Linked DNA regions of Rattus norvegicus. The protein of the gene in region 2 purifies or fractionates together with the protein of the main gene of each other region. This does not show direct contact. Links are inferred from orthologs where the notes say so. Each region holds a gene or a part of one and is shown on either strand. Other genes may lie near its edges.

Evidence for each region.
Region 1: the proteins of Rhod (region 2) and Diaph2 purify together in Homo sapiens (co-immunoprecipitation; 3 studies listed by BioGRID and IntAct, with this or other methods). This does not show direct contact. The link is inferred for Rattus norvegicus from reciprocal best matches to the Homo sapiens genes RHOD and DIAPH2.
Region 3: the proteins of Rhod (region 2) and Daam1 purify together in Homo sapiens (affinity purification with mass spectrometry; 3 studies listed by BioGRID and IntAct, counting the BioPlex papers as one, with this or other methods). This does not show direct contact. The link is inferred for Rattus norvegicus from reciprocal best matches to the Homo sapiens genes RHOD and DAAM1.

Annotation. Positions count from the first base shown.
Region 1 is NC_086039.1:96,941,709-96,945,368, reverse strand, and holds part of Diaph2 (protein diaphanous homolog 2), read right to left. Parts: intron 1,360-3,660; coding exon 1,241-1,359; intron 1-1,240. UniProt on the Homo sapiens protein: Could be involved in oogenesis. Involved in the regulation of endosome dynamics.
Region 2 is NC_086019.1:211,137,598-211,139,975, forward strand, and holds the end of Rhod (rho-related GTP-binding protein RhoD), read right to left. Parts: intron 1,982-2,378; coding exon 1,847-1,981; intron 1,457-1,846; coding exon 1,289-1,456; 3' UTR 529-1,288; downstream 1-528. UniProt on the Homo sapiens protein: Involved in endosome dynamics. May coordinate membrane transport with the function of the cytoskeleton. Involved in the internalization and trafficking of activated tyrosine kinase receptors such as PDGFRB.
Region 3 is NC_086024.1:96,181,583-96,185,342, reverse strand, and holds the start of Daam1 (disheveled-associated activator of morphogenesis 1), read right to left. Parts: upstream 2,363-3,760; 5' UTR 2,069-2,362; intron 1-2,068. UniProt on the Homo sapiens protein: Binds to disheveled (Dvl) and Rho, and mediates Wnt-induced Dvl-Rho complex formation. May play a role as a scaffolding protein to recruit Rho-GDP and Rho-GEF, thereby enhancing Rho-GTP formation. Can direct nucleation and elongation of new actin filaments.

The DNA.
Region 1 (3,660 bases), on a different chromosome or scaffold from region 2:
AAAGTCACATTAATATATACTATAATGTACATATCCTATCATGATTTCTTTCTTTAGGGTTAAAGCAAAAATACTCAACCATCCAAAATATTTTTTGATGAAATTATCACTGCACTGAAAGTCTTCAATTATAATTCAACTTTTAACACTACATAATTCTTTTAAAAAATACACATTATTTTGTTGACAGAGGTGGTAAAAAACTCCATGTTTAAGATAATAAAATTTCAAAATGATCTGCTAAAAAGCTGGGGGAGGAAAGTGCAGAGACATTCATCAGTTTAAGTTTTCCAGTAAAATATTTTACTTAACTTCTGATCTGAAACAAAATGCATCGTGTACAAAAAGAAAAAACTTACAATTGTAAGAATCTAGTTAATAAACATGATGAAAAACACATTTTGAGTCTAATGTTTCTACATTAACCCAATATTTCTCCAAAGGAAATTGAAACTTATGTCGGAGTTGCAGTTCTATACAAATGATACAGAACAGCTTTATTGCAACAGTTGAACTCTGGGAGAATGCAACTGACCACCAAGAAACATGAATTATATTATATTCTTACATGAATACTATTTCACAATATCAACGGATAAAAATCAAGACATGAAAAAAACAGAAATGAATCTCAAAATTATTCTTCATGTAAAAACACAAACACAGAGAATATGTGCTATGTGGTGCTACTTATATTACATTTCAGAAAAAGAACCTAGTGAGGGAAAACTAAGCTAAAATAACTAAATATATAACTAAACATATAAGAATTTTTAAGAATTATTACTTTTTCTTTTTATTAGATATTTTATTTATTTACATTTCAAATGTTAACCCCTCCATGAACCCTCTATCCCATCCTCCCTCCTCCACTTCTGTGAGGGTGCTCCCTCACCCACCCACCCACTCCTGCCTCCCTGCCCTGGCATTCCCCTACTCTGGGGCATCAAGCCTTCATAGGACCAAGGGTCTCTCCTCTCACTGATGCCCAAAAAGCTACATATGCAGCTGGAGTCATGGTTTCCTCCATATGTACCCTTTGGTTGGTGGTTTAGTTCCTGGGAGCTCTAGGGTGTCCGGTTGTCTATGAGGTTGCAAACTCCTTCAGCTCCCTCTCCTTTTTCTAACTCCTCCATTGGGAATAATATTTGAAATGTAAATACATAAAATATCCAGTAAAAAAGTGCTCAGGAGGCAGAAGGCGTGAGACATGAATGACAGCGAAGAGCATAACCCATACCTATGAGATGAGTGAAATCAAAGTCTATGCGTTGCCTGTACTTGAAGTCTGGATCCATGCCACTGCAGTGCAGCACTATCTGTGAAACACACTCCTCAATTATTTTATAATACTGTGGCCTGTACAAAGGAGAAAATATTTGAGAACGTTTTTCTACTTGCATCAATCAATTTTCTTATGAAGGAATTCAGAATGCAAAAAGAACTCAGGTTTTTTTTTTTTCCACTAGCGCCAAGAAGGAAATAATTCCACTAATATTTACACTTCTTTGGACAGAAAATATGACTAAGGCTTAAAGGCACTCTTAACATTAGGGGGCCAAATTGAGTGTGATGTAATTGATTGAAAGTATGTACAGACTTAATATTCTAGTTTGCAGGGATTGAAGCTTGTGTTCGAAAATACTTATCCACCTTATCTATCTATTTAAGGTATTGTTGCTAAAGTTAATGAAAGTTAAGTGATTCCTTAATACTAAATCTATGAGCACAGAAACAGTTATAAACAGCTACAAGTTGTCCTTTTCAAAAAAAAAATATGTTTCTTGGCCTTGGGTAGCAAGCAATGTCTTGAATTCAGTGCAGAACATTTACTCAGGACAGTCACACGAGCTTATAAAACTGGGCTGAGTCATTTCTTTTAAAGACTAATATGAAGACCTATGTAAGCAGAATATTTCTAAAAAATATCTGTTTTATAAAATCATATGCATTTAATATGCATAGCTACAGTTGCAATTTGTGTGATGTGTCAAAGGTTTTAAAACACACCATTTTTCTGTAATCTCCCAAGGTAATTTTGGCTTTAAAAATGACCACTGACTGGAAAAATAAAAATAAGGGACATTTTGCATTAAAATTTGCAGAAGACAAATCGTCATGTGCTAATAAATTCAACAGCACTTCAGAGAGATATTATGTAACACAAATTATGATATAAACATCTCTAAATATAGCTTGTCAAAGTACTAAAAACTTGAAAATATATAAAACAGACTCTAATTAATCTTCCGTGTATTTAATGGCTGTTACTAAGATTAAGAATGAAAAGAAATATGCATTGTGCATTGTGCCTTTAGGCTTTCAAACACCATCATCAGAGCCCGGGATATATTAGTCTTAACTTCACTCTGTGAATAACTAAGAACAACAGAACACTTCCTTTCATCTAATAGGTGAAATAAAAGTACATGGTATACCTCCACCCAAGAATATTATAAGGAGGAAAAGATTGTATGGGCTACAGCAATAGCTCAGTGAATTAGAGTACTAGCTGTATAGAATAGGGTGCAAATGAGGAGGATGTAAAAAGCCAGGGATGGTGATGATGCACATCTGTAAACCCAGATCTGCCTGCGGTGTTGACAGGAAGACTAGAGGAACTTATCAGCATTCCTCCAGTTTCAGTGAGAAAGACATTTTCACAAGATAATTTCACAGAAAATGTAGAGCATAATAACCAATTTGACCCCTTGCCTCTGTCTGCATTCACAAGAACATATCTAAACACATACTGTAGACAAACATACTTACACACAAAAACCTACTGCCATACAGACTACACACAGACACAAACAATTTTTTTTCAAAATATGTCATGTATGAATCATTTGTGGTTCATTAACATTTCCAGGAAATACATAATTCTTCACCAATCATATTACCAGAAACCTGAATAAGTATGACCACTGTATCTCCATTATGATGTATTACTACTTATAGTGATTTTTAGAAGGTATGGATTAGTTCTTTAAACATTTTTCTGTCTCCGCGACATCATAATGAAGATCAAATCATTGTATAAGCCTGAAGCAAAAAAATCCAATATGGTATTTTAGAATTGTCAAATTTTATTGCCAATACTATTCTGGTAGCAGTCCTTTTTAAATTATTACAGCAAGTTGTGAGAATTCAAAGAACCCAGTAGCCATAATAATAGTATAAAGCAATTATGAATAGCTTGCACTGTCATTAACATTAAGACCATGGTCATGAGCTTATAGATAATTTCAGTCTACTCATAAACCTGTTATTTTTAAAGTTTCTAGGTTTAATATATAGACAGAATCTATTATAAAACTCAAAACTTGGTTATTATCATATTCATTTTCTTTGACAAAAACTAAAATATATACAATAATATTTCCTAAATTTAAAGGTATTACATTTTTTAAAGGTTGATAAACAAGTGTTTATCTCATTTTCATTAAACTCACAATTTCTTCAAAAACAGAAATATCAAAACAACTAAAATGTAGGAAAGGTGTCAGAGTGTTACTTATGAATGATATCAATAATAATAATGATAATAGTAATAATAATAATAACAATAATAATAACCCTACACTATAGAACAAAATCAGTAAAAGAAACTGAGCCAAGGAATAATTATCAAGGATGGAAGACAAGGTTAAGACAATA
Region 2 (2,378 bases):
GTCTGACGTTTTGTGCCTGAGGTAGAAGAGGGCACTGAATCCCACAGAACAGAAATTACAGGTGACTGTGCACTGCCACGCGGGTGCTGGGAACCAATCCTAGGTCCTTTGGAAGACAAGCCAGTACTCTTGATCACTAGCCTCTATCCTAAAATTTTTTTTAAATTATACTTTAGTTTTACTGTGTGTGTGTGGGTGGGTTTATACTAAGGTATGTGCATGAAGTCAGAGGTCAATGCAGGAGTCAATTTTTTCCTACCATATGGATCCCAAGGAACTCAAGTCGTGGTGGCAAGTACCTTTATCTGAACCACCTCATCAACCCCACATCCTGCTCTTTGTGTGGGTTCTTGGAATTGAATTTAGGTTGTTTGGTTTATGTGGTGGCCCCTGAGAAGCACCACTGCACTATCTCCCTCTGTGTTGTGTGTGTCTCACTGGTTCTGTTTCTGGAGAAATCTATTAACATAGTAGACAAATGAGAGAACACACCGTTGATGCCAGGCACCTGCTAAGCTCTGCATATGCAGTCCTCATGACTTTTGCTCATGCTTTGCTCATGCTTGACGTAATTTTTTTTCTTTTTTTTCTTTTTTTCGGAGCTGGGGACCGAACCTGGGGACCGAACCCAGGGCCTTGCGCTTGCTAGGCAAGCGCTCTACCACTGAGCTAAATCCCCAACCCCGTTTCTGATTGGCCATTTTACAGATGAGGCTGAGGCCTAGAACTTTGTCAAGGTCTTGGAAGTGATAAAGTAAGGTTTGGATCCTAACAGTTCCACCCTAGGGTCTAGGTGGGCTCTTTCCTACCTAGTAGGATGCAAAAATGCTTTGAAGCAAGAGTCAGGACACTAAGAACAAGTGATGCCATTTTAGTTGTTACACTTATCAATGGGATGAAGAGGATGATCAGGGACACGGCAGGGCAGCGTGTTAGCCTGGGCAGGTTGGTCTCAGGAACCCTGGGTCCTGTAGATATATTATAACTCAGAGAATAGCCACAAGGTGGCGCCAAATCAGACCACACAGACCTCCCACTCATGATGCAGGTCCAGGATTGGGCACAGGGAGTCTGTTAATGGTTCCAGAGCTAAGGGTCTGGGAACCCTCTTCCTCAATCCAGGATTCCTCTGTCCAGGGGCCAGGCCTCAGTGGAGTCCATCTGTGGCTGTGTGGTTCTACCAGTTCAGCCTGGGGACTAGGTCCATCCCAGTCAACAGAGTAGAAGGTCTGCTCCTGGGTCTTTCTCCAGCTGAGTAAATCGGAAGGCAAGGTGAGTTCCAAACCAGTCAGGTGACCACGCAAAAATTCTGGGTAATCCGCCGCCAGAAGTTATGACTGCGACTGCTGAGAGCCACTTCAGCTGCTTCCTGGAAGACGGCTTCCACGTTGTCATGGAGCCGAGCTGAACACTCGAGATAGGCCACTGCTCCCACAGACCTTGCCATATCATGGCCCTGCCAAAGAGCAGTGGGAGTTACTATGAGTTTGGGATGTGGGGTGAAACTCACACTTGGTCTTGCTGTAGCCCTTCTGACTGTGCCAGGAGTCTTGAGGACAATAGTAGGAAGCGGGGCTTCTCTAGGGCACCCTCAGTGGGTAACTAATCCATGTATTGCAAAGAAGGGTCGAAAATAACATGGACCTTGGTCTCATTTGTGCTATACATATTACTTATCTGTCCTGTCAGAACTCCTTGAGTATTCTGGGTTCTGTTTCCAAGTGCTGACCCTTCCTGACTGCTGACGCCCTCCAAGACCCTGAGTGCTAAATGCCTGGCATAGCAGAGAGGTGTCCTGAGGTTCCCTCCCCAAATGCCTCTCATCCACAGCTAGCTTCCTACCTACCCTGTGGTAGGTCACCGGCTCCAGTCTTTTCTTCCGAAGTGTGTTCACCAGCACCTTGTCCTTACGCAGGTCTATCTTGCAGCCCACAACAATAATGGGCACCCCCTTGCAGAAATGGGTCACCTCTGGGTACCACTGCAAGGAAAAGGGTTGTGTGTGAGTCACTGGGGTTCTGACCTTCAGTGAGAAACTCTTTGCTCTATCAGTGTACTCAGTACAGGTTCTCACTGAAAATTCCCCATGCTCTAATTCGGGATGTAGCTCAGTTGGTAGAGTGCTTGCTTAGCATGCACAAAGCCCTGGGTTAGATCTATGGCACCGAATAAACCAGACCTGTAATTGCAGCATTTGGGAAGTGAAGCCAGGAAGACTAGAAATTCAAGACCATCCTCAACTACAAAGGCCTAAGACAGTGGCTCAAGGAAACAGAAATGTGTAAATAATAATTTCCTTTTTTTTTTTCCTTCTAAGACAGAGTTTCTTTGTGTAGCTCTGGCTGTCCCGGAACTCACTCTGTAGACCAGGCTGGCCT
Region 3 (3,760 bases), on a different chromosome or scaffold from region 2:
TTTCTGTCTTGTTACTCATGCCCTACTTTATTCACAGGCCACTCTTCATGTCCCCCGATATCTTGTACTCCTCTCAGTTTCTTGTCCCTTGTTCTCATGACTTTTGTCAACATCTTTCCACCCTGTTCCAGAGCAATTAGGCAGTGAGACACATCTGTGATGGGCAGATGGCAGCTGGAATCTGGCTCGGCATATTTTAAAGCAACTCATCAAAGCCTTAAAACAGGTACACATTCTGACCTAGTATTTCTGCTTCTGGGAATATAGAATATATCCTTAAATGTTCAGAGACACAAAGATGTTTACACACACACACACACACACACACACACAACCATTATCTAAACAGCCAAAAAACAGAAACACTTAATAAGTGACAATGATGGAAATCACCTAAAACACATTATTATAGTACAAAGATGGTGGGTCACAGTGGCCCCTATGTGAGAAGATACTCAGTGACACGGTCATAACTATAGATTTGTAGTATCACATATTTATTTTAAAAATCCACATGGATGAGCATAAGAAGGATCAAAGAAATTTATCGAAACATGAGTAGCAGTTGGCTCTGTGGCGTGTGTGGTCACTTTGGACTTTTAAGACATAGAGCCTCTAGTGTACCCCACATCGTTACAATAAAGACGTGCTATTTTCACCATTAATGAAAAGAGGGTTTTTTTTTTTAAGAAAAAATTGATGCAATTATTTACTGGCTTTAGAAGAGGGACATGAGTGTTAAAAAAAAAATGCCTGTTAAAAAGACTCAAAACAGATGTGTCAGGTCCCAAATTCCTCCCCTAGCACTTCTAAAAGAACCAAGAAGAGGAAGAAATTAACCAAGGTATGGTGATGTGGACAACTAGCTTGCCAGAACTCCTGTGGGAAGGACTGGTTGTTTCCCCTGTAATCTGTTGCAAATGGATTTTTTTATATATATAATATATAGCACAGATATCTCAAATCAACTATGAAGGCTCTAGCTTGGTATTTCTCAATCTGTGGGTCAGGACCCCTTTGGGGGTCCTGCATTTCTGATATTTACAATACGATTCAAAGCAGTATCAAATTACAGTTATGAACTAGCAACCATAATTTTATGGTTGGGGTCATCACAACATGAGGAACTGTATTAAAGGATTGCAGCATTAGGAAGGTTGAGAACCACTATGCCAGCCAATCTCTCGTCTTGTACTCCACACAGGTAGGCAGTTGGTGCACACTAGGTCAAGGGATCTCATTAAACTACAACTCTTGGTGTTTGTCTTTAGTCTGTGTCAAAATGGTAGGAACCACAATGTCTTTGGAAGCCAGGTCAGTGTCCTGCGGAGCCTGTTAACAGTAAATAAGATTATTCAGGTCAAGGTCTGTATGGTGGGTGGAGTACTTAGACTTCTGGGAAATAAAGGCAAGAAAATGAAATAGATAGAAATATGCACAGGGTAGCACCTGGAAGGTCCTAAGGTTCCCACCCGGGCTTCGAGGTTGAGAAGTTTACACACATCTTCCAGGCAGTCTTGCTAAATACCCAGCTAGACTTGTCTGAACCGTCATAGCATTTCAGGATGCCACGACTGACAGTTACAGTAATTTGTGATATTGATCTTTCTCCCCTCTTTGAAGAGTCTATTCCATGAGGACAAAGACCCAAGGCGAGTGCTGCTTAATGCCTCACACACAGACCACCCAAACATTTTGGGACAGAGGTTTTCCTTTGCGTTTTCTATGTTGATTTACATAACTCAGGCTACACAGCATTCTGGTCATATTGAAGGACCAGGAGATAGTGTTAGGACCTAAACTTCAGTCCAAGACAGTTTCCAAATTTTAAAAGGAAAACACCACCTATAAATATTAGAGTATGACGGGGTGACTAATCCTAACATGGGCAATAAGTTGCAGTCTACAACAGGTCAGAACCTGATTGAAATAATTTTAGTATAGAGCACTACTTTGCCTTGACGGCAATTTGTGCTTAGCTTCAGTAAAGCCCAAAGGTCAAGATTTCCTCACTGGAAAGCCAGTTCCTCACTGGAACCACAACTGATTAAATGCATCTTTAAATTACCCATGATGCACAGAGATAGCTGAGATGTCCAACTGGCAGCCAGTTCATCCACATATTTGGATGGCCACTTCTCAGAGCCGCATCCCCAGATACAGATCAAAACAGGAAGTTAAAGCAATCATCCACTTGACCTCTCAGGCAGGAGCCACTTGCACAGGCTCTCTCCCCCTCAAGCACTTCACTGAGCACAGATCCAACTGCTTCTCCAAGCACGTCACACCCAGAACCTTTTCCCGTCACCTCTGGAAAGATGAAGCTGAGGAGGCCGGAGCCACTGGAGAAGCTTGAGGAAGAGTTGGTTTGCTGGTAAAGCAAAGGTGTTCACACAGGAAAATCTGGCCGGCAGGGAGTGAGGTGTGGGATGTGCAGAGAGAAGTCGGGGAAGTTGCTTGCTCTGTCAGGCTGGATCCCAGGCTCCACCCTCTCCAACGTCAGGGTATTGGCCTGAGGCAGCCACCTTTCACCTCCCAACAGGATGATTTCAATAGTTTCTTCTCTCTGGCCCTTCGTGTTCAGGCCAGATGGTAGACCTTTCCTGTGCATGGCCAGACAGTAAATGCTGTAAGCGCTGTAGAAAATTTGGCCTCTGCTACAAACACTGAGTGCTGCCATTTTCCAACAGAAGCAGCCACAGACATATGTAAACATGGTGAGCCCACGTTCTAATAACACTCCACTCTAGAAAGTGAAACATGAACTTCATGTAAGGTTATAACGCCCAAGGCTGGGGATGCAAGTCAGTTGGGGCAATGCAGACTAACATGGGCAAAACTCAGGGTTTCATTCCAGCACCATGGAAAATGAGATCTGGTAGTGTACACCTGAAACCCCAGCACTAGGGAAGTACAAGCAGGAAAATCAGAAGGTCCAGGACAATGAACCACAACGCGGTGAGTTCAAGACCAGTCTCAGCTACGTGAGACCCTCTCTCAAAACAAAGATTTTTAAAAACTCTAAAGATGTTTTAGCATATCCACAAACAGTATTTTTAAAACTTTTTTGCTACCATCAAATATGTGAAAACCATTCTTAGTTCACAGAACAAAAAAGGAAGGTGGTCTGCCCAGGCAGGCCCTGGACCGCAGGCTAACGAGCTGTGATGCACCGTTGAAGGCACGCACTTCATCTACTGAGCTGATCCAAACAGTGCTCAGGAAGGCCTCACCTGATGAGTGACATTTACCTGAGACCTAAAGGATAAAGTAGGAGAAAAATGTCAGTAGAAAGGTTTCCAGACTGGAGGAGTGTGTGCACTGGCCTGGATCAGGGAGGTGACAGGCACAACTGAGTCAGGGAGAAGCCCAGGATGTGAGTAATGAGAGCTGGTGAGGGCAGAGGCCCAAACTCAGATGGCTCACACGCTGCAATGCCAGCCCCGGCCGACTGGATTTTCCTGCCCTCATCATCCGACTTCCCAAACACTGCGTAAGCTTAGGCCAACCACAAGTGGACACATGCCGCCATCAGTCCTTCGTAGTAGTTGCATGGCTGAGCCCATAGATTATTAGACTAGGCTGTTTTCCTTTTTAGGTGCACATATGTGCACACACAGGACAACTTTCAGGGATTGGTTCTCTCCATCTCCCATGGGTTCCAGGGCTTGAACTCAAGTCATCAGTAACAGCAGTGAGTGAATGTCTTTATCTTCTGGGCCATCTCAACGACCTATGCTTTCCTTCCTCATCAGACCAT